Drosophila melanogaster: one gene and its partners. The protein of the gene in region 1 interacts with the protein of each later gene in a pairwise test. Each region holds a gene or a part of one and is shown in the gene's direction. Other genes may lie near its edges.

The links.
Region 2: the proteins of Blimp-1 (region 1) and CG33695 interact in a two-hybrid assay, tested with the Drosophila melanogaster proteins (one large-scale study listed by BioGRID).
Region 3: the proteins of Blimp-1 (region 1) and Dr interact in a two-hybrid assay, tested with the Drosophila melanogaster proteins (one large-scale study listed by BioGRID).
Region 4: the proteins of Blimp-1 (region 1) and Hr38 interact in a two-hybrid assay, tested with the Drosophila melanogaster proteins (one large-scale study listed by BioGRID).

Annotation. Positions count from the first base shown.
Region 1 is NT_037436.4:5,627,723-5,636,206, forward strand, and holds the start of Blimp-1 (Blimp-1), read left to right. Parts: upstream 1-3,260; 5' UTR 3,261-3,759; intron 3,760-8,292; exon of another isoform or gene 8,293-8,484.
Region 2 is NT_033779.5:11,274,572-11,282,125, forward strand, and holds CG33695 (uncharacterized protein), read left to right. Parts: upstream 1-3,449; 5' UTR 3,450-3,541; coding exon 3,542-3,559; intron 3,560-3,579; exon of another isoform or gene 3,580-3,798; coding exon of another isoform or gene 3,799-3,822; coding exon 3,823-3,914; intron 3,915-4,003; coding exon 4,004-4,102; intron 4,103-4,183; coding exon 4,184-4,892; 3' UTR 4,893-5,276; downstream 5,277-7,554. Other genes in the region: cana (CENP-ana), read left to right, coding at 1-1,504, 1,566-1,766, 1,828-1,977, 2,034-2,285, 2,350-2,625, 2,684-2,764; Ppt2 (Palmitoyl-protein thioesterase 2), read left to right, coding at 5,801-5,944, 6,046-6,187, 6,250-6,357, 6,562-6,835, 6,901-7,099.
Region 3 is NT_033777.3:29,552,371-29,560,733, forward strand, and holds the start of Dr (drop), read left to right. Parts: upstream 1-4,015; 5' UTR 4,016-4,265; coding exon 4,266-5,475; intron 5,476-8,363. UniProt on the Drosophila melanogaster protein: Plays a key role in the specification of proneural and promuscular cluster formation. Required for the specification of dorsal and lateral muscle progenitor cells. Regulates development of peripheral nervous system derived from lateral neuroblasts.
Region 4 is NT_033779.5:20,709,907-20,718,521, reverse strand, and holds the start of Hr38 (hormone receptor-like in 38), read left to right. Parts: upstream 1-3,933; 5' UTR 3,934-5,052; coding exon 5,053-5,485; intron 5,486-6,221; exon of another isoform or gene 6,222-7,320; intron 7,321-7,515; exon of another isoform or gene 7,516-8,426; intron 8,427-8,615. UniProt on the Drosophila melanogaster protein: Binds to NGFI-B response elements. Plays an important role in late stages of epidermal metamorphosis.

The DNA of each region.
Region 1 (8,484 bases):
TAAAGCAAAACCGATAACCAATGTAATAAATAATGAATACATATATTTATGTACTTATGTATGTATGTATGTTGCTACCACTGGTAACTTTCCTGGGCCTTTTCATTTCAGCCATCATTTAGTTGTTGAAGTGCGGCCAGCACCTTCTTTGGCTTGGATGGTGCTGAAACTGATGGCCAATGAACTCCAGCAATGAAAACGAAATGTATAAAAAACGAAAACAACAAGAACACAATGCGGCCACGAAGAAGAACCAAAGAACGCGACAGAGTCCGAAACAGAAACCGAAAGATACAAAAATTGTTGTTCCTTTTCCCCCTTTTATTTTTTGGTAAGAAGTCAATGAACCTGGCCAACTGCGTGCGTGTGCGTGAGCTTGAAATAAACTTGGCTAACCAAAAAACGAAATGAAATGTAAAGAAAGAAATGATTGTTGCGCCCAAAAACTGAGAGGGAAGGGCGGGAACGGCCAGAAAGAGCCATCAAAAGCGGGCAAAACGATGATGAGTTGGCCAAGAAGCCGGGCCAACAAGCCAGCTGTAGATGCCGGCTTTTTGGGCCTACGCATATACCCGTATGTCTCTCACATTAACTTTGTGAGGGTAAACCCCGTACGTATTCGTGTTTTTTTTTTTCTTCTTTTGGGTGTTAAATAATACAACCGCCTAAAAGGCACTTGTTGTTGGCCAGAGGCTTTTGCTTTTAGCCCCAAACGAATTCATATTTATTTAAAAGAGAATGCTTCCTCTTCCATTTCTCAACTTTCAATTATGGGATACGCGGAATTTGTTGTCGATCGGGATTCCATTCCCTAAGACGCAATAGTTTTATGCTAACAATTTTCGAGAATCACTTTTGTTTATTCGTTTAGTTGAAAGTTCTTTCCTTTTCTGGACGTCTAAAAATTAATGATGCACGATTAAAAAGAAGAAGCTATTCCCATTAATAAATTGATATTCAAATTAGCTGAATGTGTTGAACTTGAAAGCGCGTTCCTTTCCCCAACTAAGCGTAGATTACACATTTAATTACCGCACCTATATATATATTCGTATTTATTTACACTTTCAGCCTAATGCCATGATGATGATGATTTATTATATATTTAAGCCGTCTGCCTAGAACACTTTTATTTTTTCGAGCGCTTAAAAAACTGTTTTCCTCCACGGCCAAATGAGTGATGATGTATTAACTATTAAAATTATGTTCATGCTCGTGTGGTGTTTAAGAATTTATTGACCCCATCGCGTCGGGTTTTTGCTTTCAGCCAAAAGAGTTCTAATGGCTAAACAAAAAAGGTTCTAATCCCAGTTGCCGCACAGAGTCTTTCGCTTTTTTCCAAGCCAACTTTGAATGCTTCAATTGTTATTTATAGAGAATGATGGCAGCGGCAGTCGAGTGTGGCAGAAACTAATGAGTTAGGCCTTTATTCCCGGCCACAAAACGGATGCGGATTTACCTTTTGATTCGCATCCTATCCTCCGTCTTTTGTCTTTTCATCGGGCGTTAAGTTCAAGGTTGGCTTGGCCAGCTAAAATATTGATTACACCACGTGGTCAATTACACTTAAATTATGTAAATGCTCGTTTTTCAATTTGTCTTGGCAGACTTTAATAGAATGGCAATACCCATTTACGGAATGTTAAGTGTTTTTTCCCACTAATTATATATTTATTAACCATCCAGGTTTTTGACGATATGCTCACCCATTTTTACGACTGCGGCTAGAGGCTTGATGGAGAGGAAGTTGGTATCTACTCAAAATGTGGTCTCTGAGTAAGTGATTTACACTTTATTTATAGCGCAATTTTATAGAGTTCGATTAGATCATTAATGGTTCAGAGATTGAGTCATGGAATGACTGGCGTTTATGCACAGATGTCCATTGATCTAAAGGAGCTTTCAAAGTTATACTTTTACTTTTAACTAAACTCATTTTTTGAATAATATTACGAATTGGGAAATACATGTAAAGAAATCTGTATGAAATCGAAGTTGTTTCACCATTCACTGGAGAGCTGCTTAGAAGTATTGCATAAAGTTAAGAACCGAAATTAAGTAATCCATCACAATGATAAATTACCTTGTAAAGTGATGCAAAAAAGCTCTCACTTCCCATTTTGCGAGCGCGACATTTGTTTGCCAATTGTTTGCATGCAATTATGGCATCATGAAATTTGATACCCAAAAAAAAAAAAACAGGAACAGAAATAAAACTGAAACAGAAACAAATCATGAACAAACCAATTACATGCCGTGCCAAACTTCTGGCCAAGAGAGAGAGAGCCCCCACCAAACGGGTTAAGAGCATTGAGAACAAGTGGCCCACGGACGGCATTTTGTTGCGCTTGGCTTGCGCCGATTCTAAACTTGTTAGAAGAGTGGTGTTGTAATTTTACGCTCGCATGCTCAATTTACGCTCGCTGGCCAGACTGCGGGTACACTGAAAATAAAATCATCGCAGTCTCTTATAAAAAGCTCAGCTCGACTTAAAGAAGTACGGATTAGGCTGGAAATATTTGTAATGGTTTCTTATTTTACTTAAAATTACAAGTAGGCGTATACTTCATTCATTCATTTCTTTTCAAAACAAGGTTAAACATTTTTACAACTTACATATCCGAAAATTAAAAAGCTTGAATACGAACTTTAGTTTCAAAAGTACGGTCTCTAATCCCGTCATTTAATTTAAATTCTAGTACTTTTTATAATATTGCTGCTTTTAAGATTACTATATGATCATCGATATTGCTTTAAAAATATTGTATAATTTTTTTATTTTTGTGTGTTAGAAGAGTTTAGAACTACATATTTTGTGCGAAAAAGAGTGGCGGTATTTGCCAGGGTATTGGTGCTGCCAAAGAGATACCTGCGCCCGCGCGCTCACCTTGAATGAAAGTTCTGGCCTGTTGCGCTCAGTGCGCGCGAGTGAAAGAGACGGATAGGGTGAAAGAGAAAGAGAGGGGCAGAGAGCTGAGAGAGCGCCGAGATGTGGTTGTGATCAGTGTAAATGGCACTGCGATCAAGAACCTGAGACACCTGAGCTGCGCCCTACCTGTGTGTTGGTGTGTGCTGCTATACGCTGGTGTGTTTGAAGAGAAAGAAGAGAGTGCTGGGCGTGCGAGTGTGTGCGTAAGGCCGTGTAATGAAATGCTGAAAAGTCTATCTGTCTGCGCAGTCGACGCGCTGCCGCTGCTCTGCCTTCAGAAGCCTCTAACGACATCGACATTGAAGTCGCACCGCGACTCATCCGTAGTTTCAGTTTCCCGTAAGCAACAAAACGATCGAGACATGATTTCGTAAGACGCACGCGTTACGCTTCTACTTGCTTCAAGACAGCAAAAAGACCACTGATCCACCAGACTTTGCAACATACACCCACCCACAAAAAGTTCTGAAACTAAGTGTATCTAGAAGCTACAATTCCCAATTCAAAGTGATTTGTGTCTATCAGCTAAACTGACAAAAAGTGACATACACATAAGACTGCCCCTAGTTATGCAAATGAAATTCCACTAGACCTAAGCCAATTAGTTCAATTCCCCAACCAGTGCACTTGTGTATCAAAAATATAGTTTGCTCAACTATATTCGAAAAGTTTAAGAATAACAAAGTGTCTATTATGATCGAAACTTAAATAGCCAGCAAGCACTTTTCGGCTTCGGATTGGATTTATTGCGTAATGGATTTAAATTTACCCGCAACATTAGCAGCAACCTCAACAACACGGAACGGATATGCATTTAAACACTGAACATGGTAAGTATTTCTAAATGATTTACCTTATATAAACTTCGTAACTTTTCCTAGCTGCCTTTTTATTGCTCCAAGTCAATTATATAGCTGACAAGCTAACGATTGAGCTTGCTAATAGAATTCGATGAAGGGTTTTTATGGGTCTAAGTTTACAGATTGAAATTGTCTAGTTTGAAGCAGTTCCCGAAAGTTCTGTAAAGAAAGCTTTCTTCAGAAGACTGTCTTCGTTGGAGAAGCTTCAGGAAATTTTAGAGCGGGTTTTTTTTTTGGAAGGCGGTCATAACAGAATGAGAATGAATACAAATTGTTCTTTTCCCATAAATTGCATAATAAATCATACTGGCCACTGGTAATTAAATCTTTTCTTTCAAATCAGTTCTTAGGTAATTTCTAATTTCCAGTTAGAACTTTTTTCAAAACTTCTCTTTTAATTTATTCTTAGATAATTTTTCTTTATTTCAACTTTTTTATTGACATCTTAATTGCTTGGGTTCTATTCCTGATTTTCAACTTTTTCTTCACTAAATCTCACATTAAAGCCATCATAATTTATGACTAGCGTTTAAAATTAACCATGATGTTACACAGCAGCAGCCAGCAACATCTTATTATTCTTAACACCACGACGAAGACTTTCACATACAATTTATGCTAATCATAAGTTTTCGATAGAAAGGTTATATAATAGTACGTCGCACTGGGCGAGAACAAGTTTTCAGCAAAATGCCCAAAAAAGCGGATAAAAAATGGTATGATGATTAATTACAGGCAGGATAGAAAAATGGCATAAGCAGCTAAAATTTCTTAGCCGCAAATGGGAGATGGCAGAATGATGGGGACTGACATTTCATTAGAAAAATCATGTATAAAGCTACGCCAATCTCCTGTCCCTATATAAACAAAAAAAATATATATATATATATATATAAAATATATATTTTAATAATCACATCAGCAAAAACAACAATATAGCACTCACAACACAAATAATTAGACAAAACCAGTTTGGGCTTAAACAAATCGCACAAACAACAAAATGGGGGTAAATATACGCCGACGGAGGGACAGAGAGCAAATTATAGGCTGGATAGCAGATGGAGCGAGATGGCGACAGATAATTGGCGACGTAAGGCAGAAAAACCTTGACTTTGACTTTAAATGACTCGACAACTGATCGCACGCTAACACGCTCCAACAGACGGCGATAAAAGCAACAACGCCAGCAGCAGTGGCAATAAAATATTGTATAAACAAATAAATTGAAATCGAAATCGAAATGAGAAGAGATGAATGAACAACACAACGACAAGCCGATCGAATGAAATCAAAACTTATTGCGAATTTGTAATGCGATTCAAAATCACACGATGATCATTTCAATATCAAGGTCATTAGCAGCTGCAGCTGTCCAAGTTCTGTCGTTGGCCACCTGCTCCCACAGAGCTGTCAGTCTTCCCTCCTGACTTGATTCCAAATGGCATTCGAAATGAGTTATATCTCTATCCGCCCATATATTGCTTATATAGCTTGGAAACAGCTTGCTTCATTTTGCAATTTAAATGAGCTCGCCGTCTAAGTTTGTGTATGAAAGCAATTCTTTTGATTCCTCTATGGCTTTTCCCTCTTCTTCATTTGTTGTTGTTGCTGTTTCTTTTTTTGGCACGCATGCCGAGAGTTCATTGACTGTCAGCCGCAAACATACACACATTCTATGCCCCCACCCCACATAACAAATGACTTAGGCAACAAACTTGCCTTCGTTCGGTTTTCGTTTTCATTTCGAGCAACAGAAGATGCTGTGCGCGTAAGCGAGACAGAGCGTTAGGGAGAGGCCAAGGACCTAGGCCAAGAATTAGAGAATCCCCTCCGCAAATCCCCCCCTCGAAAAGTGAATCTGCCGCTTCAGCTAGCAGCAGCAGCAGCCGCAGCAGCAGAAGAAGAAGCCAATGACCAGGAGGGGAAACAAGTTCAGATCGGCTCATCCTTGGGCCAGGGGCACGGTTTGAGTTTGGGGCAGGTTGCAACAGCCAGCTCCTCTATCTCAGCCACCTCCTCCTGATTCCCGGATCCCCGGATCACCCCCAATGGTACAGGCATCGCACATTGGGAATCATTTGCCGTGAAAAGGGCGTTCAACTGGCAAATGCTCATGGGCACATGGCGTGCTCAACTGAAGCAAGCCAAAGGTTCTTGCACTCAGCAAGTTCTTCTGCTTCTGCACTGGAAACAAGAGCTTAACAAGTGCTCCATTTAAAATAAATGAAGTTAAAAAATCAAATAGCATCGGAAATGGAGTTAGGATTCTTAAAAGCATATTCAGCTAAAAAAAATTCAATTATGGCTAGATTTCTAGTATATAACAAATCAAATATCAGTTATAAGTTTTTTCTCCGGTGTTCTTATGTCCGGTTCTCTGCCACTTCTAAGGCCTGATGAAAAGGGAATCAAATCACTCTTACTCTTGGCCAGCTTTTTTTATTTGCTTGAGCCAGGGTTATTGACTCGCTCGTGGTCTTACCTTGGGCGGTTCTTCCTGCCTTTTGCTTTCTGCTGGAGCTGCATCTTCGTTTGAAATTGTTGCTGCCTTGGCCACTTGCCACGCACAAGAGGATGAGGCTGAGGAAGAGGTGGAGCTGCCAAGTCATCCGCGGCAGCTTCCCAGGTAACATACAAAACTAATAAGAGGCTTAAGAGAGGCGGCAAAGAGAACGCCGACGCACAGGTGGGATATACAGGTAGAAAGAAAGAGCGAACCAGGAAGAAAGTGTGGCCAAGCAAAAGAATGGAGCGAAAGAAGTGGTAGCGCAGCAGCAGATGAAAAGAAAACAAGTTCAATGACCGACCTACTCAAGCGCGTTATAACCAAAGCGCGCACACACACACACACATGCATACACATACGCACTGCGGAGAGAGGAGAGAGCACATGCGCATGCGCACAGCTCGAAGCCGAAGCCGATGTCAAGCCGAAGTTGAATGCCGAAGCCGAGTTACGAACCTCACTTGACGTTGAACTTTGATGCGACAGGTTCTGTGTCAATGTTGTTGTTTTGTTGCCTTTGTCGCCTTTGTTGTTGCTGCCTTGACACTATCGTGTTTAGCTGTAAATGCCCACATTGTTGTTATTGTCTGCAGTGCATAGAGTGTGACATTGAGCACTCTGCGAAAAAGTATCAGCCAACTCTAAATTGATAATATTAGATAATATATACACACAGTAGTTCTCTGAATGTAACATAAGCATTAAATATCTGTTATTTACACAAATACGTTAAGAACCAATTTCTGTCAGTGCATTGATGATCATTGATCGAAAGATAAAAGAGTTGGCTGTTACAATAGGAAAGGGGGTGTTGGAGCTGTCAAACTATTTGTTTAGGCCCCTCTCTTTAGAACTGGAAATCAAATTATGCTCATTTACGCGCCATGAATACGTAATCCCCCAATTTGCCGGCCACTCGTAATTTGACTATGACAAAATGGCTTTTTATTAACCTAACGGTACATTCACCGGCTGTACTCCACCTATTACTTTTCGGTTTTACAGTTGTATGTCGCTGGCCATTAAAAAACGTGCTTGGCGTTCTTTATGACTATTTCGTTGGCGGTTAGATTCACAAAGACAACGCCGAAATGAACTCTGAAGAGGTCTAGCTCATTCGAATAGTTTTGCATAATGTCCCTGGCACCGAGACTTCCGGCTGCAGCTCTAGTTCATTGTCAACGGTCAATTTGCAATCGAATGGCAGCACAACCCCCACAAACAGAGCATGCGTTGCAAAAGAGAAGAGAGCAAAATTTGGGTTAAAAGAGAGACTGCAGCGAGAAATGCAGCGAGAGCTTTGCAACGTCTGCAATGCACTTTAAAAAACGGGAGCTGAGCTTATGAAAAATAACATGCAATCATGCTAAAAAAGATCAATCATGTTGATAAGCCTAATTACCCTAACAAGTGAATTTCTATGATTCAAGAAATAGAAGCATTAAAGAGATCTGATTCAAAATGCTAACTACCCTGAAAATCCTAATCAAATGCTGTCCTAGACCAATAAAGCCTTCGCCTGACCTAACCCAATATGTTTTGTGTTCCAAAATAAACCCTGGCTGTGCGATTTTCTCGGCCCAGAGCAGAACGAGCTGCCAGAGATCCACCCTCAATAGGTTTAGACTCCCGAACTTAAAAAAAAGCACGATGTTGGCCGAATCCGCAAAACGAAGCTCTGCTAAAAAAGGGCCGCCCTTGCTGCGCTGCTGCCGCTGCCGTGCTGGCCCTGTTGTTGTTATTGTTTCGCACTGGGCGAGTTCAGTTGATGCCAAGTGCAAGTGCCAATAGCATTGGCCTCCACCCCGCCGCCACGCACCGAACAGCCCTACCAGCCCTCTTAGCCCCCTGAGAGCCACCCAGAACCACCTTGTTTACTGTCTGCAGTCGGCGGGCAGAGAAGCCGGCGTTGCAGCCAACTTCGCTGCCGCATTTGGCTGAAATCGAAGGGAGCTGGCAGCTTTTGCAGCTGCTCGTTATTTCAGTCCTGACTCGGGATGTTAACGCGTTGGGCAGGTCATGTCTCATGGCACAGCCGCGTTGCGTGGACCAAAGAACGGCAAAGAAAACCAGCAGGACATCCCGTGCACTGAGTTCAATACATAAATAGTTATATATATATATATATATTAGCTACAAGCTAAGGCCGCCGCCACAAATGTGTTCAATTAGCAAACGAGAAGCGT
Region 2 (7,554 bases), on another chromosome or scaffold:
ATATGAACGCCGAATCGAGCAACTTGAAGAATCATTACAAAGGGCACAAGAGGAATTAAGTATTCTGGAGAAGCGAAAGACAGATGAGAACAAAAGCCTTCAGCTTGAGTACATGGCGAAAATTGAGACGAGCGAGAATGAAAACCGCTCCAAATTCCGTGCATACTGCCTGGATTTAAAGGAAACCCAGAAACGCTACGAAGAGCAGCTACAGCAGACCAATGAAAAGCTCGCCAGTGTTACGACTCAGTGTCAGGTGCATTTGGATGTCATTAAAAGATCTCTTCAAGAAAAGATTACTCAGGCCGAGAAGGAAAGAAACGAATTGGCTGTCCGACACAAGGCAGAGCTTGAAAAAATCAGGGAAACGCTGAAGGAGAAGGAATCTTCTTACAAGGAGAAACTAAGGCAAGCGGAGGAGGAGCGCGATAAGGAAATTTCTAGGCTTGAGGTGATGCGAAACACAATAGCAGAGCTGCATAAAACGAATTCTGATCGGGAAGTGGAACTCGAGGGAGTGAAAATGGAAAAATGCCAACTTAAGAAGCTGTACGACAAAAGCATGTTGGAGCTAGAACAACTGCAATGCACTGCCGACCAGAAAAGTTCGGATTTGCTGCCAGGCTCGTCGAACGAGAACATCGATGACCTGCAAAAGAAGTGCGATCAATATGTTCAGGATTTGGAGCTGTTGAGGGGCGAGAAAGCAGAACTGCTATCGGAGATCCAGAAAATCAACGGACAGCACTCGAATACCATAAAAAAACTTGAGGAAATCGAAGCGGAAATGATTACACTAACCACTCAAAAGGAGTTGGAGAGGTGTGAAATTGCAGAAAAGCTGGAGACTTTCAAGTCCAAGGAGGCAGATATCAAAGAAGCTCTGCACTGTGCCCAGCTCAGGCTTCATGCCTACGATAAGCTGGTGTGCGAGTACGAGCGGCTAAAAGGCTGTCTTTCGGATTCAAATAAGTTGTCGGAAAATCTGCAGAAGAAAGTGGAGCGTTTGCATGCTGAACAGCTTGCTTTACAAGAAGGAATTTCCGGCCGAGATTCAGAGATTAAACAGCTTCGCTCTGAGCTCAAGGACGCCATTGATGAAAATAAAACAGTGAGAGAAGCAAAAGTAGGCCTGGAAAATAGTCTTAAAGCAGTACAGGAAAATATGTCTGCCCAGGAAGGTCAGTTTAAACAAAAGATTGCTGATATTAAGGGTTCAGTAGACGAGCTTCAGATTAAACTAAAATCTCTGCAAGAAGTAAGAGACCATCTAGAGTCTAGAAATGAAGAGCTTAAAAGAAAGCTAAAAGATGCTCAGGAACTACAGAACATGGTGGATAAGGAGCGAAAGCTCAATTCCTCTCTACGAGAAGATTTTGACAAACTGGAACAAACCAAACTCGATCTCGAAGAGCAGCTTCGAGCCAAGAAAGTAGAAATCGATCGCCGATCCAAGGAGCTTGGCGAAGTGACCAAGGATTGCGAAAATATACGATCCGATCTGGTAAGTTTTATTTATTTAACGCCTTCACTTTTGTATTCTATTATATTTTATTCTATACCAGGAAGCTCAAACTAATGATTTCCTAAAAGAAAGGGAAACTTTGAACTTGACTATATCCGATCTTCGGTTGCATAATGAGCAATTGCTAGAAACCTCGAAAAATTATCTATCAGACATAACAGCAGCAAATAATTTAAATCTCGAAATGAAGAAGAATCTTCACGATCTCACAAAAGAGTGCAAGAGCTTACGTTCCGATCTGGTAATAATTAATCTGGTAATCTATCTGGTTGATTACAATATAGGTAATTAAAATTTTTCAGCAATCCAAAGAAGAATATTTCCAAACGCAAAAGCAACTGTTGGATGAAACAATTTCTAATCTAAAGGAGGAAAACCGCAAGATGGAGGAAAAGTTGAGTTCGGGTAACAAGGCGCTCAAAGAGGATTGCGAAAAGCTCCGTTCAACATTGGTAATATTAGACTTGTCTTTGTAGGTTATTCGGTCGCTAATGAAATATTTATTTAGGAATCAAAGGAACTTATACTGCAACAGAATAAACAAGAGTTAGAGGAAAGGCTGACTGTTATTAATGAGAAGAATGGGAAAAACGCACTACTTGACGCCCAGTTGAAATCCAATGAAACCGCCTTTACATCACTGCGAAAGGCATGGATTAAGCAAAGTTTAGCCATAGAAGCGGCCAATAAAAGAAGCCTCGAGATGGAACAGAAGGTTGATAAACGTACGAGGGAGTACGAAGAACTACGATCAACTCTGGTAGAATAATTGCAATCAAAGGCTCTTATAAAATAGCTTAATGTTTTCTCTTTAAATCGCCTAGAAAACCAGGGAAATCAACTTTCGATCGGAGAAGGAACGCATGGACGGCACCATCTCTAGCCTGTTAGAAGACAAGCGTAATCTTGAGGAGAAGTTGTGCACAGTCACCGAGCTCCTGGCTAAGCTAAAGCGCGAACTGCCGGCTTTACACACGCAAAAAGTGAACGGAGGCGATGTGTCCATTGAGTTGAATTCCTCGAATGGATCGCCGACTCCTGCAGCTGTTCCAGCAACAAAGAAGCCCCTGGACTGCAATTCCGCTGAATGTGTGCCAAAGGTACGTATGATCTTCTAAATTTCAAGCATGTAATATTTTTTTTATTTCTCTCGTAAAGAAATCCAGCAGCCTAGAGACTGCGGAGCGGAAGAATCGACGGATGACGGCCTACGATGAGAACCGTAAGCAGTTTTGCTGAAACGACTTACGTGACGGCGGAACTACGACCGTTCCTTTAGGTAAGTTAAGGTTTGCTTGGCCGCGAAATCGTCTAAACTTTATGTGGTTTTAACTAATATTGCAGGTGGCAATTGCCACTGCGAGCAGCGGAGCTGCAAACAAAGACTGAGTTCGGACTGGAGGCAAAACGTTGAGTTCAACGATGATAAAAAAGATGATTAATGTTATCCAAGTATTAGGGATTTCTTTTGTTAGGTGTTATCTTGCAAACGGTGGAATTCCACATCATAAAGTTTTCTATTTATATTTACGCCCTAAGTATTTGTCAAATACTATCAATACAAAAATTACAAAAACAATCGTGATCGTAGTATTTAAATTTAAATCTGTATTATGCTGGTTTTTGTTTAATAGTTAAATTCGATAAATAGTTAAATATTGTTAATTAAGAAATGTTTCCTTCATCATGTGTAATAATATTTGGTTCATATGTATAGCATTGAATAAACTATTTACATTTTCTTAATGTTAAAATCAGATTCGCATAAGTTGCTGGTTCTAATAATAAAAGACATAAATTACTTAAATGTAAATCTAAATAAGCATAACGCTTCTTGTTTGAATTCCCGATTGCACCAATCGATAAGTCGATAGTAGCGCAAATACATATTCTAGTGTTGTGCATTGGAAAATTGACGGCCGCTTGAGTGTTGTGTACGGCGTCAGTGTTGAATAGCTGCGGACGCAAAACTACGTAAAATTACGACAAAAAAACAGCGCCCCGCGAAAAAAGGCCATGAACTCGGCAATCAAGGTAGGTTCAGCCGCTCCACCACATCCGCCGGCAGCTCCGACCGCGTTGATCCCGTCGCCAGCGCCTCCGCGCGTTGCAAGCGAGAAAAAGGCGGCGCGGGAGAGAGTCGAGAGTCATTCGTTTGTCTCACTCCTGCGAGTGGGAAATTTGTTGTTCCACCGTGAGTGGGCCGGCGGGCGGTGGGCAGGGGCGGTGCGTTTGTTTTGAATTTGCACGCGGTAACAACAAACTGACTCCGGATGCAAATCCGCATGCACTTGCAGGTGGGGGAGATATTCACGGCCGCCGGACAGGCGTTCAGCAGACTGGGCGATCTAACCATGCAGCTGCATCCCAATGCGGAGTCGCCATCGGGGTAAGTTGATTCTATGCGGTGGAGTCGCGAGTTTTGTGGACACTAATCGGAGTGTTTCTGTGTGCCTTGTTCCCTCGCCACGGCTGCAGGAAGTGGACGGACGAGGAGATCGACATGCTGCACTCGTCCATAATGCGCTTCTCCGACGACCTGACCAAGATCAGCCTAAGCATCAAGAACCGCACCGTGTAAGTGATCCTGTGCTCCTGGCGAGGGAACCGGCTGCCCAGTGTGTACGTGCTAGTTTTAATTGACCTTCCCCATTGCAGTTCTCAGATCCGCCAGGCGCTGAAGAAGAAGGCCTTCGAGGACGCCGGCATTCCCGCCAAGCAAGTGCCCGTCCAGCAGGTGCAACACGTTCTCCAGACGCTGCCACAACAGCAGCCGCAGCAGCCCCTTCAGCAGCCACCTCCTCAAGTATTCAAGTCACAGCCAATCGTGCAGCACGTACAGCTGGTGGCGCAGCCAAAGCAGATCATCCTGCATCCACAGTCTAATACAACTACGACGGGCACGACGGTGACTGTTAAGCAGTACCAGCAGATGCAGAAGGCTGCGGCATTAGCGGCAGCCCAGGCTGCAGCCTCGACGGCCAACAACACGCCCACCATCACGGAGAACATCATTATCCAGCAGCCCACTTCGACTACGGCGACAGTGGTGCAGCAGCCACATATGGTGTCCACCTGCTCGTCGACGCAGATCGTGGTGCCCGTTGTGTCGGCAGTGTCCACTGTTCCAACAGTACTCTCGCCCACGGTGGTGATTGCCGACGATGTGGTTAGCACCTCCAATCCTCCAGCGGCAGCGGCGACAGTAGGATCGCCAGCAGGGGCGCCAGCAGGCTTAAAGTGCGGACCAGACGTGTCCATGACCCTCAATCGCATCAATGTCCAGGAGAACGAGGTGGACGTGGAGGAGTGCCTGCCCGCAGAGGTGGTCAAGCTGGATTTTGTCAGCGAGGAGGTGGCCGGGTGAGGTTCGAGCCCTCGGAACGGGCTGGACTTCTTCTACTAGATCTCCGGCCGCAGAACGAATCACGTAACTTGGAACAGAACCGCTACAAATCCAGATCGAGAACTCTTAAGCAAAAAGGTTGAGATGCCGCCCTAGCCCTAAGTCTAAACTGTTAAGTGTTGTCATATTTGATATACCCTGAAATCACCTTGTTCCGGGCCCCGGATGACAAATGAATTGTGCGATGTGGAGGACGAGTCTGTGGATCGCCAGCCACAGAGCGTAGATATTAATTGCGGAGCGTATATGCGCCGCCTAGACTTAAATTTACGCAAGACACAATAGTGCAAAGTACATAACGACGATCGTGTAAGTTGAGAGTGAATAAACGAGCATTATTTTAAGATTCGGCGATCTCTGGGATTTTATTGGAGTTAGGAAAGCCCAAGGAGCGTAGAAATTTAGTTATTTGCAATGGCTTCTACAATCTCATTGCTGTAATTTGTACTTCATACTTTTATTTTGATCAGACTGTATTATAAAAGCATATATATAATTATATTTTTAAAGCACCCAATGCAAACTCAATTGTGTTTCTAATGGTCCGCTAAATTATATTGCATTTTATCTTTATTTGAATGTACCCATCCAATTTATGGGACCTATTTTATAAACCTTTCCTTTTAAATGCACACCACGTATTTTAAATTCATCCAATTATTGTACAATGAAGTCTCGAGAAATTTCGAATGCATTTTCAAATTTCGTTCTGCTCATAATTGCGCTCGCAACCCATACATTGCCATTCGCATGTCGGATTTCAAATCCGCACTTTCAGAATTTCCAAAGCGGGTAGCAAGAAGAAGAGCGGCTAATAAAGATACGGATACATCAACAACAACAGTCGGAAATCCATTGTTCCCCACAAAATGAGACTTCGTTTGCAAGTCCTGGTGGCCCTGTTAACCTGCTCGTCCATTTCCGTCTCACTGGCCTACAAACCGGTGGTCATACTCCATGGAATTCTATCAGGAGCCGAATCGATGGCCTCTCTGGTCCGGGAAATCGAAGAGGTTTGTTTTTCGATTCCCCTTTGTTATTGTTTACAGTGGCAAGGTCGAATTTGACGCAAACAACGCAGTAGCACTGATAAACTCATTTCGTCCGTTTGTAGTTTCATCCTGGCACTATCGTCTACAACTGCGACAAGTTCAATGGATGGTACAGCTTGGAGAACGCCTGGCGACAGGTCGATCAGGTTAGGGATTATCTCAACGAGGTGGGCAAACTGCATCCAGAGGGCATCATTGTGCTGGGTAAGGCAGCCGATTTTCATTAGAGTATTTTCTTTTAGTTACCAATACTATGCCTTTTTCAGGATACTCACAAGGAGGCCTTTTGGCCCGGGCGGCCATCCAAAGTCTGCCCGAGCACAATGTGAAGACCTTTATATCTCTATCCTCGCCACAGGCGGGGCAATACGGCAGTAAGTGAGATCAAAGTTTAAACCAATGAGTAAATTCTATTTATATAGATGCATAACTGCGTCACATTTTTCCGGGCTAAACTCTTTTAAAGCTTACAAGAAACAAATATATTATGTAACTGTGTTCAAAAATTACGCAGTTGGGTTATAAAACAAAGGGGGATCACAATGGTTCAAGTTTTTATTTTTTGGTAATATTTTCAGCTAGCTTCTTGCATCTAATCTTTCCCGACTTGGCGGCCAAGACAGCCTTCGAATTGTTCTACTCGCGCGTGGGACAGCACACCTCGGTTGGTGGCTACTGGAACGATCCGCAGAGGCAGGATCTCTACCTGAAGTACAGCGAATTCCTGCCACTGATCAATAATGAGAAGAAGACCTCCAACTCCACATCTTTTAAGATGGGAATGGTGCGTCTAAATAAGTTGGTAATGATCGGCGGACCCAACGACGATGTGATTACTCCGTGGCAATCGAGGTATGGTTTACTTAGTCGGATATTATCAAAGGTGAAATAACCACAAATCGTATATATTTCCTCAGCCACTTTGGTTACTTTGACGAGAATATGGATGTGATTCCATTTATTAGGCGACCGATTTTCACCAGCGACTCCATTGGCATCAGGACGCTTCAGGAGGCCGGCAAGCTTATCATTGTGGTCAAACCCCATGTTCATCATCTTGCCTGGCACACGCGAAGGGATGTCATCCACGAAGTGATATTTCCATATCTGGACTGAATAAGAAACCAAAACTACTGAACTATACTGAGCGATCAAACGGCTGTGATCGGAAAGGCGGACAAAGGCTCACTCTCATCAATAAGCATTAATGTGAAGTTGCTGCCTGGGTAATTAGGCTACAAACATGATCTTTTATTGGTAACTAAGCTATATATTTTTAAAACAGCCTGCGTATTGCAGCAGAGATTTTTACAAAAACTCATAAACTACTTATAAATAGCCAAATAAAGTGAAACTAGAAATTTTTAAATTGCAATTTCAATGATATATATTTGGATATTAAAATGAATCGTTAAAGTTTATATTTCATGTCGTCAAATTTGTTTGTTGAATTTAAATACTTAAATCTCCCGCGCATTTTTAGTTACTGATAGATAACAATAAGCGATAACTTTACTTATCGCTTAATGAAGAATCGATATTTAATCGATACATCCGCGGTCTATGTGATG
Region 3 (8,363 bases), on another chromosome or scaffold:
AATGAATTAATAAAAATGGCAGCAAAAAATAATAATCATAAACGAGTTTGCGACGCACGACCAGCTTTTTTGTTCGCCGCTACAGAGAAAGAAATATATGAATAATTATATCAAGAAAATTTACTTTGAATAGCTTATATGTTTCAATCATATTTTTATTATCTAACTTCAAAATATTCTTGTTTGTCTTTTCTTTTTTAAGTCATCCTTTAAACACGATTGTCATTATACTAATTATAATCACTTAAAATCAATTAAAAATTATTACGTTAATTATTTTTTGACTGTGTGTAAGCCAAGAGGGTGAAATAAAAAAATTAAAATAGAGCAAAAGAGCGCTGTCAATCAGCCAGCCAGCGATTGGGCCCACATCCACGCAGATCCACCCACCCACCGAAGGCAATCAGTGCCAAATCAGAACTTTATTTATTTGCTTGTTGTTTGCCAAACATTTACGCCATCAGCAAAACGACACCCGAGAGCTCGTTAAATGCTCAGCCATGCGGATGTAATTCAATAAACGAGCGTTCTGCGCCATCATCAACACCCCATCGTTTAGTATTGTGTGTGTGTGTGCAGTGGAATGGCCCTGTATGGGTGTGTATCTGTGTGAGGCAGCCGCAATTGCCACAACAGCCGCTGTGACTAAATGACTGACTGACAACCGCAGGGTTTTGCAAGGGGATGGTTTATTTACTCGGCGAACAACCCCTCGAAAAGCATCGCATCCCCAGGATCCACCATCTCTTTTCGTCCTGTGCTGTGGCGTTTATTGAGCCGAGTTTCGCAACAGCCTCGTCCTGCGTCCTTCGGAAATTTCTGAACTGTCAACATGTCAACTGTTTGCTGGTCCGCTAAGGTTATTTCTGTGGGTGGAGTGGGTGGCTGGGGTGGCTTGGGTGGCTTGGTTGGCTCTCTCGCTCTTTTCGCTTTTTCGGCCTGTTTAAGCGATTTAACGCATCGCAAGGATAATGAAATTTTGATTATGCGCCGCTTGGCTGGTTGTCCTGGCACAGTGCCGCCCTCTGTGGGGCGGATTGCTGGCTGGGTCGCTATGAAATTAGCGTCGTTTAGGAGGTCCTTTGAAAATTGGGGAACGGAATTAAATTCGGCGAGCTGCTAATTATCGTTGGAAAAGGATGTTTGTGCAGCTGTATCTCTTTCTGAGTTATTTAATTAGAAGAGTGCTTAAAATGTTAATGACTTAGTGCCTTTAGTTTGAATACGAGTAAAAGAAACTATTAAATTTGATCATTCCATTAATAAAACAGAATCTAGCGCTGTTCTCGTTTCCAGCTGGTATAATAAACAATTTGCCGACTGGGTAATTGCTCACTCTCGGATACAAACAATTATGCAATTCAATTCGGAATTAATTGCACAATAAAACACCAAATTCTCATTTAATTGCCTGACAAAAAAGGCACACAAAGCAAAGCGGCAACCCACATAAATATGCAACACCCACACACAAACACACACACCCACTCAATCATGGCCAACTACATATATACGTCCAAATAGCCCCACCTCTCATTCCGCAGCCATAGCTTCTACAATCAAACTGGAATCGGAATCGGTCGGCGGGATATATAAATTCGAAAAATTATGAAAAACTATCAAAACATTTACATACGCTCGTTGCGGGGAAGGAAAGTGAGGAAAACGACGTGATCTTTTCGATCCACGCACTTAGTGTTGGGCAGCAGGCTTTTTATTAGCCAAACCTAGCTAGTTTTCAATATGTTTCAGTTAAAAGTTTTCAAAAATTAACAGAATCTGTTCTAAAGCATATTTCTGAAGTTATTTCAAAGTGAACATAATATTTCTTGTTTGTTGTTTCACTGCAAGACATAACAACTTTATTGGGCAAACATAAATTGCACATTTCTAGTCACATAAGGTGAATATTTTTTTAATATATTTTTTAATATTTTATTAGCTAGTTTTTAAAATCTATCGCAGTCATCACTGCACGCACGCAAATCGGCGGCCATTTATCAAATGACCAACTTGGCCGAAGCGTGGACTTTGTTGGTGCTTTTGTTATTGGCCGACTTGCTGCTGCTTTTGCCGGTTTCGTTTCATCTCGAAGTGGTGGGATCGAGAATAGGTGGGGGGAGTGGAGGGGGCTGGAGCTCGCTTATGATGTTTATTGAAAAATTAATTTGCGCCTCGTTGTTGTATTGCTTTTTTTCGGCGCTCATTTGCGTATTTCAAAGCGCAATGAATAATGATGGTGGTTAAGTAGTGGAAAATAAAAGAAGAAACGCTCGACGTGCTTGGCCTGAGAAATTAATATTTGTAATTGGCTATAATTGTTTATGCCAACGGCACAAAGTATAGAAAACGAGACGCAGACAATGATATTAACGAGCTGAGGGGCCTCTCATCGCATTTTGCCGCCATTTCGAAATGTTTAATTGAAAAGAAAGCGGAATTGCCGGGCATCGTAATGAAGAGCTCAAGTTTTGGGAAGTTGGAAAAATTTTAATCAGTCAAGAGGGGCGTTGGAAAAGTGGTAAGAGGTATATCAAGTGTTAATTGAATGGCTGGGAAATGTGAGAAGTTCATAAACGAGTTTACTGTCTTGGTTTCTTTTAAGTGTAATTAAAAACGATTTCGGAAAGAGTTTGAAAAAAGTTCAGAAATTATATAAAAATATTTCTAAATTTCACCCAACCCATTTAGGCAAGAACTCAAATTAATTGGCTAGAATTTCCCCAATCATGCAGAGTCGTTTCATTTTCAGCATCGTTTGCAACTAATTAAGGCAACCACACAGCCATTCGTCAACTGTTCTAATTGAGCTCTTTATTTTCCACCCACTGGCAATTGTCATTAAAATCCTTTCACCAACTTGCCGCCCGAAAAGCCGAGCGAACCCGCACAATCCGACGCCCATTTCCCATTTTCACAACTTGGTCCTTCGAGCAGCGGAAAACAAAGGAGCAGCTGAACAATGGCTGGCAAAAGTTTTCAAGCCAACAATTTCACATAATAATCCTTAAAATGAGTTTAATTTGTAGAGCGAGAATTATAAAGGGTGCGGTATTCCCGCTCCCTCCCTCACTCCACCCGCCAACCTTGCAATTTATGGAGCTTATGGGGGTTGGCAAAATTCTATATAATCCTGCATATTTCACATTTATATGTATGTGATTGATTCGGCCGGGTTCCCGGGACGTTCGATTTATGTGGACCGATCCGATTTTTATGGCTTATCTCCTGAGGTGGAGCAAAAGGGAAGAAAAAACATAATTTCCTGACCGAGATTGCAGCTTTGCGATAATGCCGCTCCACCCGACATTTGATGCTTTTGGGGCCCTGATAATGATGGGCTTATTATTTATTATATTGTTCTTGTACGCTAAGGACATGTAGGAGTGCCAATTAAAATTGAAAAACCGCCTGGTCTATATATACATACATATATATGTACATATTAGGCGTACATAAAGCTTAAAAAATCACGCCAATTTGGCCAAATGAAGTCATAAACGATAAAGAGGGAGATAGAGGGAAAATGGAGATGGAAGGAAAAGCCAGAAAACCAAAGTGGAAATGGACAGGCGTTTGCCGCCGCTGCTTGTTATAAAATGCTAATACGCGCAGCAGCTCGAAAAAAAAGTGGAAAAACGCTTTGAAGATTGAATTATTCAATAATAATTAGGCGTGCGACAGGGACGGCTATACTGCGGGGCAGCTACACCATCTCTGTCTGTACGGCAAGAGTGCGGCAAACTCACCACACTGAAGCGAGAGCGAAAGAGAAAAGAAGGCGGAACAAAAGTCAGAAAAGTGGAGAAATACAAGACTCACACCGGAAAAAAAGAGCGAGCGAGCTAGTCTCGAAACCAATAAAAATGGTGTCGCACGCGGTGCACTCCACCACGGGAGTGAGAGAGAGGCACGCTCTACACAGCCGGTTTCCCACCACCAATCGTCGAGTGCGTCGGTGTGAGTGAGTATCTGTGTGGCAGGCAGCGGTGCATCCGAAACTGCGACCACAGTTTCAGTCGCAGAACAGACGTGATCTCAAGAGGACGTGTCTCTCTCTGGAAATAAATAGCCCCTGAAAAGATACAAAACGCCGCGTGTGACAGTGTGTGTCTGTGTTTCCCAAGCGTGTGACGAACGAGCGCATTAATTGAAAGATAATCAAAACAAATTAACAGCAGACCATGTCTCAATGAACCAATTAACCGGCGCACCTAAAGCACAGTATTAACGAGCCACAGTTACACAAACGATCGAAAGGCTTTATGTTAAAGCTCAGCCCAGCGAGCATGACAGTTACAGGTCTGCGCCAGACGATGACCAGTCCCACGGTGCCGCCGAGCAGTAACACTCCCGCGGGTAACCTCATCATCACCAGCAGCAGTAGCAACAGCGGCAGCAACAGCGGCAGCAACATGAGCAGCGGCAACATGACCAGCAGCAACCTGACCAACCTGAGTCCTAGCCACCCGGCTGGCCTGAATGCCCTGGCCAGTCCCACCTCGCCGTCGGCACTGCTGCTGGCCCATCAGCAGCATCTGCTGCAGCAGCACCAGCAACACCAGCAGCAGCAGCAACAGCAGCAGCAGGCGGCGGCGCTCCAGCTGGCCGCAGTGCATCCGCCGGCCCACCATCTGCACAAGACCACCTCCCGACTGAGCAACTTTAGTGTGGCCTCTCTCCTGGCGGACACGAGGCCCAGAACGCCACCCAACCAGGCGGCGGATGGACCCCAGAACCTGACCAGTTCGGCGGCCACCTCGCCCATCTCCCAGGCCAGCAGCACGCCGCCGCCTCCGCCGGCCAGTGCGGCCGCCCAAGTTCCCGCCAACACCTTCCATCCCGCCGCCGTCGCGCACCACGCCCACTTGCTGCAGGCCGCCCACGCGGCTGCGGCGGCACATGCCCAGCACCAGGCGATGGCCGCCCAGCTGCGCCAACAGCAGCAGCAGGCGGACGCCCGGGCCAACTCGCCACCCGCCTCCACGAGTTCCACGCCCAGCTCCACGCCACTGGGATCCGCACTGGGATCGCAGGGCAATGTGGCCTCCACTCCCGCCAAAAATGAACGCCATTCGCCGCTGGGCAGCCACACGGACTCCGAGCTGGAGTACGACGAGGAGATGCTGCAGGACCACGAGGCCGATCACGACGAGGAGGAGGACTCCATTGTGGATATCGAGGACATGAACGCCGACGACTCGCCGCGCTCCACGCCCGACGGCCTCGACGGCAGCGGCAAGTCGCTGGAATCGCCGCACGGTCCGCCGCCGGGCTCTCACATGCAATCCACGATACTTTCCCCGGCGGCCCTGGCCTCCGGTCATGTGCCCATCCGCCCGACCCCCTTCAGTGCACTGGCCGCCGCGGCGGTGGCCTGGACGGGAATGGGCGGTGGAGTTCCGTGGCCAGGAACCAGACAAATGCCGCCCTTCGGACCGCCTGGCATGTTTCCGGGAGCAGGATTCGGTGGAGGTAAGTGTCGTTATCCAGTTCTTTGTGGGGTTTTTGTCAGCTTGTTTTCGGTTTTTGTACTTCCTAGAGGGGAAATGATAAACCTTATCTGTTACATGTGCTTAACTGTCCTGTCCTAAGCGATATTTTAAACTCATTTGCAATGGAGGATTCAGCATGGGCATAATTAAATAATGGGAAAATAAAAATATATATAGGAGAGAATATAGAACTCAAAAGGTTTACTTCAAAAAAAATAAAAACAACCTCAACTCTCTTTCGAAAATATTTTCAATTTAGAGCCTTAACATCAAAGTAAATATGAGTGTATATATAGTTACATTTCATATATTTATTTATAATTAACTGTAAACCCATAAACATGAACTTCTGAACCCGTGAACAATAGAAATACGCGAATTCCGCTTGGGAGCAAATTCCCCATTAGCAGCCAGCGATGTGTATTCAAAAACGATTTATTTAATGGAGGAATTTCAAACCACCCACCCCACCCCTCATTGTTTTATGCCCCATGTGCGGTGGCAACTTTATCTACACCATTTTGTGTCGCATTTTAATTCAATTAACTGCCGCCCCTCGCCTTAATTGGCATCGATGGTGACTCTCCGCTCCTGGTCGGACGCGAGCTGCGGGTGCTCCATCATGGCCACCTCGTCGTCATCGTCATCATGGCTATGGAATGGAAGTGATCGTGACTGCAGTTTGTAGTCAAAGTGCGTGGCAATTATTGCGGGGCCTTAAATAAAACAATGAAAACTGCCTGATTGCGCTGGGCCCATTATTTGATGATGATGATGATGATGATGGCTGATGGCTGATGATAGTCGCGTCGGTTCTGATTTGACTCAATTGGCCACGTCTGATTATTCATTGCACTCGCTGGCCAGCGGCGTTTTTCGGTGTTTTCCGGTCTGACAGCCAGCCAGCCCCCCATTACCGTTCCCGAATTGGAAAATCTAATAATAAGCGCGTAAAAAGCGGACTGTCTAACCGACCAGCCAGACTAATTGAAGCGAGTCTGGCTGTTTAACTGGGCGATCTCTATCTGCATGCACAGTTCACACTTTGCCTGCATTTCCTGGACAAAAAGCACCGCGGGTCGTAGGGAAAAACTGGTGGAAAATCGGGGAAAACACTCGACAAGTCACACTTTGATGCCGGACTGACATGTGAACTTTACTCGGCCATCGCGAACTCTGCGTTTCCGCTCCTTAAAGTTGCTCAAACACATTCGAAAAACTCGGAAAGGGCGGTGCAAAAACGGTGGGCAAAAAAGTGTAAATTTGCTTTTTATATGCAGAACAGCAACTATTGTTCCTGTTTTTGCTGCATATGCTCGGGTTTTTCTTGCCACTACAAAGCATTGTTTTATAAAGCTGTCGGCTGTGTTTTGAAAAAAAGGGCTTCAAATGGGGTGTTGTATTAGGAAATTTGGGCTTTAAAGTAGGTTAGTTCGAGTATTACCATATTACCGCCTCATTCAAACTATTAATACATGAAATTCCAGAACTGCATCTCTAAAAGTGCTTTCATAAATTCCAAAATATTTCAAAAGGGAACTGTTCAACAAATCGATATAAATCAATCTCGATGTGGGCCATCAATTCACCGCCCTTCATCAACCACTTGAGCTATCTTTCGTTCCTTCCCTATAAAGATGCCGAGATGAATAAACTATTCCAAACATTTGCCGCTTATTTTGTCATTTGGCTGTCAACTGCTGCATGTGTATAAAATACAGTCGAACAACTTCATTTCATTTCATTTCGTTTCGTTTCGTATCATTTGGCAGCTGTTTTTTTATTTTGTGTTGTTTTCTGGCCCTCAGTCTCGGTTTCAGTTTCTGGTTCCTGTGTTCAGCGTGTCTCATTAGCGCAGCAGGTTGCTGTCTTCTGTGGACTGATGATCCCCTGTTTTTCCGGAGGGTTTCCCTTCTGACCTGCGCCGCTATCTTCTGCGGCATTATGTCAAGTGTTAGGTACTTAGTGCCTTCGGCAAATGCTTAACTGGTAGATACAGGTTGTATCTTTTGGCTACCGTTTGTCGGCTACTTCATGGACTATTAAATTAAGCTACCATCGATTAGAGGGAACACACACACACACACACATAGTCAGTCGGCTTGAAGTTGTATGGTTTTTTGCCCTGCCATTTGATTAGCATCTTCGTGTTGCAATATGGGGAATTCCCTTTGTGCCTTCATAATTTAACTAATTGCAAGCGCAGTCGAGTCACGTATGCTGCACATGCCACCCATTTTTGCCCCCTTTAACCCCTCGACGGCCCCTGTTACTCAGCCACCACGCATTGCAGCTGCAATTCTTGGCAGCCATTATAGAAATTAATTTTCAAGCTGAACAAACGAGCAACAACTTGGGAGTCATTGCATAAATACATAGAGCCAGGCACACACACACATGCACACTATGCTTTATGGCAAGAGAGCGAAAGAGAGAGGGCGAGAAAACCTGGCCAAAACGGTGGGTGTGGCATGTCAGCAACGCCCACCCAAAACACGCAATTTTCAACAGCAACGGCAGCAATTTAAACGTTGACAGACGGCTGCTGGTTGGCGAAAAGCGAGAAGAGGGTTAAGGAAGACCCGGTGCTGTCGATAAGTGGGCAGCGAGGGGTTAAGGGGGCCGTTTGCATGCGTTTTAACACCATTTGCAAGGCTCCAAGCCGAAAGAGTCAAAAGCTAAAATAATATTTGCATTCTGCACGCCATCTAACGTGCATACGCTGTACTAAATACACACATGCAACACAGCAACGTTGGCGAGGGGGGGTGGTGCCTTCGAGGGGGCGTGTGGCGGCGCAGACATTTTGATGTATGTTTTGGTAAATAAAATTTATTTGCATTAAATTACCAGGCCAGACAAAGCGAA
Region 4 (8,615 bases), on another chromosome or scaffold:
CAGCAGAAAAGTAAGCTTAAGCGATGCACAGACTTCGTATTTGCCACTCAAATCTTGCTTACCGTTCACAAAACACATTAGCTTGCTTACCGAAATTCCACTAAAGTCCCAAAATCTCACATTTCCGCAGACCCAATAATCCTTTGCTTTATTAAGTCATATTTCAACATGAAGTTGATCATATTTATCCAGGTGCCCGCCACAATAATTTGCCAGTGAGTCCGTAAATCATCTCCCTAACCATCGATATAACCCACTTAAAACCGCAAATGTGCATTGCCCCATTGCATTGGCCGTTTTGGAGCAAGAGATTTACCCATGGCAACTGGGCGTATACTTGATGATGTTATGACATGTTCGCCTTTAAAGCCCCCACAAAAATGTTATTTAGGTACAAAATAGCGCAAAATTGCCAGGGCACTTGGAATACACCTATATATTTATGTGAAGTTACAAATATTAATAGTTAAACGAAGACTGAAAAAAATAATGACAATAATTCGCCACAAAATGCACCTGCAGGCTAAGCACTCAGCGGAGTTTTTGGTTTCGTTTTCCATTTGGTATTAGTTTTATTTTTGTTTCTGTTTTTGTTTTCAGTTAGCCAGGGGAAGTCACCATTTTTTGGGCAAGGCAAAAAGTGGGCATCGAAAGTGAAGTTTATAAAAAAGGGTTGGCGAATCCCAAAATGCAATTTATGCAAATGAGCCGAGAGGCGCCGTTGCAAATGCGGCAGCAATAGAAGAAGTAAAAAGGTAAGAAACAATGCAAAGTGCCGCATGCTAATTGAAATTTACAGGGGGGAGTTGGGGCGAATTTTCGTTTATTTTTTTCCGCAGCAAAATCAAAGCCTAAATAGCAATCAAAAAGAGCAAAAATTCCTTAAATTAAACTCACGAACTGGCGGGCGCAACGATGCGAAAATGATACATGCATTAAGGCCCAGCCAAGTTGACTTGGCCAAAACGAAGCGAATTTGGCTCGGCACATTTAGAATATCATCGCAGTGCAACTACTACGACCACAACAATAAATAATAGACAAAAGGCAGAGAGACAAAAGCAAGGAGTGCCGATTCCAAAGTCGACTTCGACGGAGACTGCGACTTTGGCTTGGCTTGGCTTGGCATGTCATGCTTAATACAGCCAATAAAACCGCCAGAGACAACAACAGCAACAATGGCAATCGAATCGCTTTGGAAGCAGCCCAAGAACAACAACCAAGGCACAGCAACAATATCGGCGATAGCAGCAACAACTAGGAGACTCCAACGCTAAGCTGTTTGCATGCACTTTTTGGGGCCACCAGCAGGTCAGCCAACAGCAGCAGCACCACTAGCCCCACTAGCACCACTGGAACCACCACCACCACCTCCACCTCTGCCACCACCATAATCGCCAAAGGAACAGCGACAGCACCATCGACAACAGCAAGAAAGCTGGCCGAAACAGTGGCTTAGAGTCCATATGATTTGGAGGCGGTTTCTAGAAAGCTTAATACGCCATGGAACTACTAAAACTCTGACCATTAACATCCACTAATGAGTAACGTGGATATTTCCATTTCTCATATTACAATGAAATGAATATAGAAATGCCACTAAAGCTGCTTTTAAGATTATAGATATAGATTATAACAAAAATAGATAAAGATCGGGAATAAACGGAGTAATAACTAGGAACACTACTCATTACCTCTAGTGGTAGTACCACATTATCCTAGAAACTACTTCTTTAATAGCCATGGAGAGGCATCATCCTTTTACGAGTGATCCACAGCCACTGTGCTGAATGCACATGGTGCCTGCCACAGACCAGTTCCACTTGCGTCGCTCCCAAATCCAACTACAATAATATATATGTACATGGGAAGCCACACCACAGAGCGGCACATTACAGCACACCGCACCCCGGAGCCACAATGGGCCGCAGTGTGAGCCGGACCCAGAGCCGCGAGACCCGGGCAAAAGCATTATGGGAAAAAATGTAGCCGAAAACGAAAGGAAGAGCCACTGCGCCCAGAAAGCCAAGTCGCTCGGCTCTGTCGCGGTCGACGCAGCAGTCGGCCGGCCGACTCAGCGATCTCACGTTTTGTCTGCGGCTTCCACATGGAGAGGCCCAAGTGCACAGCCCGCGATCTCCGGTTCGTACGCTAACAACAGTTAGAAAACGTGGCTTGGAACCTGTCTAAAAATAGCCACAGCGAATGCAGTCCAGCACACGAGCGGCCGACATGCCGACAAGCCGACAAGCCGAATGAAAACGAAACCTTAAACGCCAGAAGACGTCGCCGCCGCAAAGACGAGTCTGCGGATCCCGAAGATTTGGATTTGGGTTCGGGTGCCGAGCGCCAAGACTCTCACTCTCTGTGCAGTCGACGCTGGCAGCGCGGTCGACGCCGCGTCTTCGGGTTTACCGTTCTCTAGTCGTGTGTCGCCGATCTTGGGAGAGAAGATTTGTACTGGCTTTGCGTTATTATTGTTTTCCTCGTTGTTGTTTACGAGCTGCAAACGCCGGTGTCAATGGTAAAGTGCATTAATATTCCCGCTTTTCCGACGGCTCGCGGGGCGGGAAAATCGCTCGGATCGTGTTATTGCCAGTTATATCGGCCAAATGATTTGTGGCGCAGCTTATTTATATTTGGGGATGAGGAAAGAGTGATCTGGTTTATGAAGTGGCAGGATGGTATTTTGTTAAGTGGAAAAGCGAAATTGGCCTGGGATCTTGTGTGAAATCGATTTGTCTTAGCACTTGGAGTGAAATAGGGAATAAAAGCGGGTAACTGAGATAAATATAAAATCGTGATTTAAGTTGAAAGGAAAACCAGACTCATTTCTAGGCTAAAAGTCCGTTTTGCATATCAATTTCAATTTGAAATATTTATAGCATAATTATAAATTATATTATATAGCATAAATATAAACCAAATTCAAAAGTAGTAAATCACTATAAATAGAATATTGAATTCTTGCCATATGATACTTGTTATTCTTTTCGAAATTTCTATCTTCCTATTTAACATGATAGCTTTACTTTTCCACCCACGCTCACCATCATGGGATTGACTCACATAAACATATTCCTCGAAATCTGGTCCATTTTCCTTTGCTTTGAATACACCCACACACACGAGAGCAAGGAAGTCCTTTCCACCAAAACGACACCACAGAATGCCCACACAGACTTAGTACACTGAGAAGAATATGTAGTTTAAGACAAACAATAAAAAAACAAACAACATTAAAAACATGCTTTTTATAAATGCATTAGAGTACAGTCTACACATGGAAAAGAGATTGATATTTAAAGACAAGTGTGTAGATGATGTACAATGTGCATAAGGGAATATTCCTACAAATTGTACGTCCTTATATATCCTGAAATTAATAAACATGTTTCCTGTGTACGATAACTGAGAGAAACGGAAGTTTTGGCAGCAGGCGAGAAGTGGATACCCAGTGGGCGGTTGGAAAAGCGGAAAAGTGGGTGGCGGAGTGGTAAGCCGGAGCAGGTGAAACGGCACCAAGAGCCCCAATCAATCTCAGATGCGAGCAAAAGGGATGGCCAACGTCGGTTTTATGACGCACATAATTTCCGCTTCCGAACTGTCCCACTGGACTGCATTCGGAAAATCGGTCGCTGAAAATGGGTGGAGGGGATTTTCCGGCGCAGGCGCTCTGCCAACGACGTCATCGATTTTCCTCGCACGAGCTGCGCTCAGTTGTTGGCCCCAAATGACGTAATAGCCGGGCCGCAAAGGTAGGTCGTGTCCCGCTCGCTTGCCGTCGCCCCTCCCTCTCCATCGCACACTCACTCTCGCTCTCACTCGCTCTCGCGAGCGCAGCACGGCGCCAGCTGAGGCAGCGCTGTCGACGCGACGCGTTGAATATAGTCGCGTGTAACCGTAAAGATAAGTTCAGTCGCGTCACAGACGCCGCATTGTTAACAACTTTAGCCCAAACAGCCACCGCTCACGGAAAAGCCAATACAAAATATAGAACTTATATCGAGGCGAGCTCGATGGTTCTGAATTTCCGATCTTAAGTCAGCCAACTAAGACTTTAATCCACACAACTATATAAACATCGCGTTCAGTATTAACGAAACACAAAGCCAACATAGGTGTGAGTGCTCAAGAGTTAAACAATTGCAACAAGTTGTTGTTCTTTATCGATTCGTGCATTCGTTCTATGCGGAAACGGAAGCCGGTCGACAGCGCGGCGTATGCGTAATAACTTCCAACGGTTGACAACGCGGCGTATACTTCACCTTTACCTTTCTTAAGCGAACAATGCATATATTTCGGTGGGCAACGCTGCGTATGTTTGTTTAATCTATCTTACCCCGCTGCGAATGTGCAGTAAATTAATCTATAGTAATTCAAATTTCGTTTCATTTCTGAGAGACAAGACACAGATATTTTTGAACTGAAAGTTTTGCTAACATTTTAACGAGCACGTGAGCTGAAGAACAGTAGTAATTGTTTTTGTGTTGCCCATTGCGCGCGTGTGTGTATCAGTGTGTAAAGTGTAAGCAACGTCCTTGTGCCTCCCACTACTGCAACTACCACAACCGAATATATATGTATATGTATATAGAGACCCCAGTTGATATAGTATAGCGTGCGTAAGTCGTTACGTCGCTTACATCGTCACTTGGCCACTGCGCAAACGCCGGAAAAAAGGAAAGGCAACAAGAAAAAAGCCAAAAAAAAAAGGAGGCAAGTTCAAGTCTAAGGACACACAACAAAAACAACAGCCGGGCAAGGACAGAAAAATGAAGCCCGATAATAACTACTGCAATCAGAGCTACTGCGACAAAAGCTTCGGCCACTCCTGCCGCAGCCAAGAAAATTGAGGCAAAATCCCAGCCCAACTCGGAACAGTCGTGCTGGATCACCAGCGCCGCTCGGGGCGCCAAACAGGTGCCTATTTAGAAACCATATAGTGTGTGATCTGTGTTGTCCCGTCCTGTGTGCGTTTTATGTTTGTGTCCCATCATCACCATCAACATCATTGTTAATTTTGGGTTCTTTAACGGAGAATCGTGGTCTATGATGCGCGATCGGCTTGCCTCGCTGATTGTGGTGAAGCAAGAGGGCGGCAGCAACACGAGCATTAGCCACCACCAGGCAACGGCCATTAAGTGCGAGGCCTCACTGTACACCGAGAGCAGTTTGTTCCAGGAGATCAACAACAACTCCTGCTACAGACAGAACCTCAATGCCCCGACACACCAGCAGTCACACACATCACACCTGCAACACGCACAGCAGCACCAAACACACCAGCAACATCCCCTCTTGCCGCCGCCTCTGCCGACTCTGCCTTTGATTTACCCCTGCCGCAACCTCTTTCCCGACGGTTGCGATATCAATCACCTGGCCTGCTGCAGTTCCTCCAACTCCAACTCCAACTGCAACTCAGACTCGAACTCCACCTCCAGCTCACCCGGCAACAGCCACTTTTTTGCCAATGGAAACACATGTATGTATTTGGTTTTCCCTTTCGGCTTATCGGTGTTGGTGACTTTTTCGTTTTTTGTTTTTTTGTATTTTCCAAACTCAAACGCCGCTGTGGTGTTTTCTTCTAATTCGCTAATAGCACACGCGGCGTATACGCAATGTGCAGCGCGCATTGCCAAATCGGCCAAGAAGCTAACTGTTTGCTCAATCCGTTTGAGAAGGCAGGTCGGGAAAAAATCTGAAAAATGCAACTTGAATAAAAAAGGGGGCGTGGCTGGTGGGGGTAGGTTGGACAACGCACAATGACGACATAAATTTGCATGAAAACTGCTCAAAATGCATCATAAAAATGGTGAAAATATTAAGCTTCCATTCGCAAAATACGAGAGCAACCACAGTAGAGGTCAAGAAAATGAGGCAGAGAACTTTAAAAATTCTTGGATTATGATTCAAAAATGATTTAACAATTAAAAAGTTTAAGCATTTGGAGTACTATTAAAGGCAGCTCTAAAAATGTTCGGTATAGTTTTTTTTTAAGCACATCAGAATTAGTTTCAAGCTATCATTTGCATTAAAAATTGTATGCTATGAAATTTAGTGCATTAATAAAATTAATTGTATAGTTACATCAGAATTAGTTTCAAGCTATCATTTGCATTAAAAATTGTATGCTATGAAATTTAGTGCATTTGCATAAAATTAATTGAGGCAACTATACCGAACTGTAAAGACGGGCTTAAATCAATTACCACCACTTTGACCTTAGTTGTGTGTGCAGACCCGTCTTGGCTCTCGGTGAGCATGTGCTGCTGTTTTTGGTGTCGTACACATGTTTACCAGCGTCAGCAAAGCGCCGCAGTTTCAGCAGACGGCAGCGGACGCAGCCTGACGCAAAATGATTTACAAGCTGCACAATAAACACCGCACACAGATGCAGTGCGTCCGATTTCCACACAGATACTCACTATCGACGGCTAGGGATGGCCAATGCATTTTTATTAATAACCGCATAAAAAAAACATCGCCGATTGAAGCTCAAGCATGGGAAAGATAGATCGATCATTTCATTGCCGAGTGGGTGGTTGGTTCGGTGGGTGGTGTTAGGGCGCCCGGCGGTGGGGCATCCGATTATTGGGCTTACTAAACGGCTTGAAAGGCTTTGCCAATTCATTCGCTGCGGCAAAGTCGGTTAGCCACTTGTTAGCCGCTTCTTAAGCGACTGTATTTTGCGGCTAACTTAGCGCCCATTAAGTGTTTCCCAGCAATCAGCTTTTAAGCACTCTGCGGTTAGCGTTTTCAACTGCAAGTGGGCCATGTGAGCCTTCAATTCACAGGAATCTACTATATGCACATTCTAAATTGATTTAATTGTCAATATTACAGAATGATTATCATGCGCTACATATGGATAGGTATCCTTTCGATAGTCTTCGGATAGGTTTTTTGAAACAACTACCCAAGTAGAAAATTAGTTTCTATGGTGAAATGCAGTTAAACACTAAACCGAGGGTTGCCAATCGATTGCAGAAGTGAAAATGCAGGGCGAAATGCACTAGACTCAGTTGACTATTAGACGTGGCAAAACAAACATCTATATTTATAAGTTGGCTATATAGTACCATAATGGCGATGGGCGCCAAAAGTGCCCGACATCGGATGACAAACCAGAGCAAAACAAATCGCCGAAGAACATATGACCAGGTGAGGTGCATCCACTAGTTGTGGTATATAGTATTTAAGCCATGACGCCAGCGGGGCCATGAAATCGGCCAGTTTAACGGATTAGGCGGCACACAGTTTTCACATTACGGGTGTTTTCCCGAGGCACGAGTGCTGAAAACGTCATCGTCGCGCCGAAAACGAAAATATATGACGAAACCGTGAAAAGATTGCACTCTCTTTGCGTCAGCTGCATCCCTAAATGTGTATCTATTTATATATATATATATATATCTCATAATTGGTTCGATTTTATTTTCATTATATTTATGGCTGGCCACGTGCTGATGACGTCTTATTTCGGGGATGAGTTGGCTGTATGCCTGCAGTATTATCACAAGTCAGCGTATTTCTTATTCCTACGACTAGTCACATTTCGATTTTGTTTTTAGTTGTGTTTTTGTTCGATGCTCACGGCGGGGCGTGTGAAAACACTGTTGCTTTTACTCTTTTCTTTCCGATTTGCCTTGATTGCTCATACGCCCCGTTCAACATGGCAACATCTCTTGGGCGTAGCCAATTGCATTTCAACATGGCCCAAAGCGACCCGGCAAAAGGTCCGCCCGAGCCGCACATATATAGACGTTCGATGCACTTGGCCAGGGATCGAGATGATCGCGGCTTCCCTTACTGATTAACCCCAGCGAAACGAGCTTGATAAATGATGCAAAACACAAAATACCTAACTACTCACATATCTATGACACCCGAAAAAATTTAGATACAAAATATATCGTAGCCCCTTCATTGTGTAGTTATTCACGATCCGTCGTGCGTTGTGAGTTATCTCCGCGGCAGCTGTCGGGATGGCCATTGTTGATTGTTGCCTCTTTTGGCCATTCCTCATACTCGTAGAGACACTCCACACCGCTGCGAAAATGTAAACCATCCCCGCTCACACCACCCTGCACACCGGTTTCCCCGGAGCAGCTTCATCTGCCAAGACCAGTAGTCACCTTCCAAGTTTCGTTTTCTTTGGCCAAACACATGAGCAAACATACACAGACGGTGGCACAGGTGGATCGAAAGGCGTTAGTCGGATAGCCCACTAACATGGTTAGGATCTGAACATTTTTCCATGTCCACGAGCTCTTTGTTCTTCGGTTGGGCTGAGCTAATGCCCGATTCGATGGGCATTTAGTTCCGCTAATAGTGGACTTAGAACAAGAAAATAAAAGTAGTTTACAAAAGCAATACCAAATAGTAAAATGATGTGATATCCATTAGATACTTAACCCAAAGCCCGCTTAACAAATCGAAATCACCTGTCCAACTCCATTAAACAGTCATCAATTCGGCTTGAAATACTTCTGCCTGTCATAATCGCAATCTTAAAATGTAAATCCATCTGCAACCTATGTATCTCAACTATCTCTGAATCAGCTCGTCTCGCACTTTTGCTATTCATTTTCGCACTGTGCGAATGAGTAAAA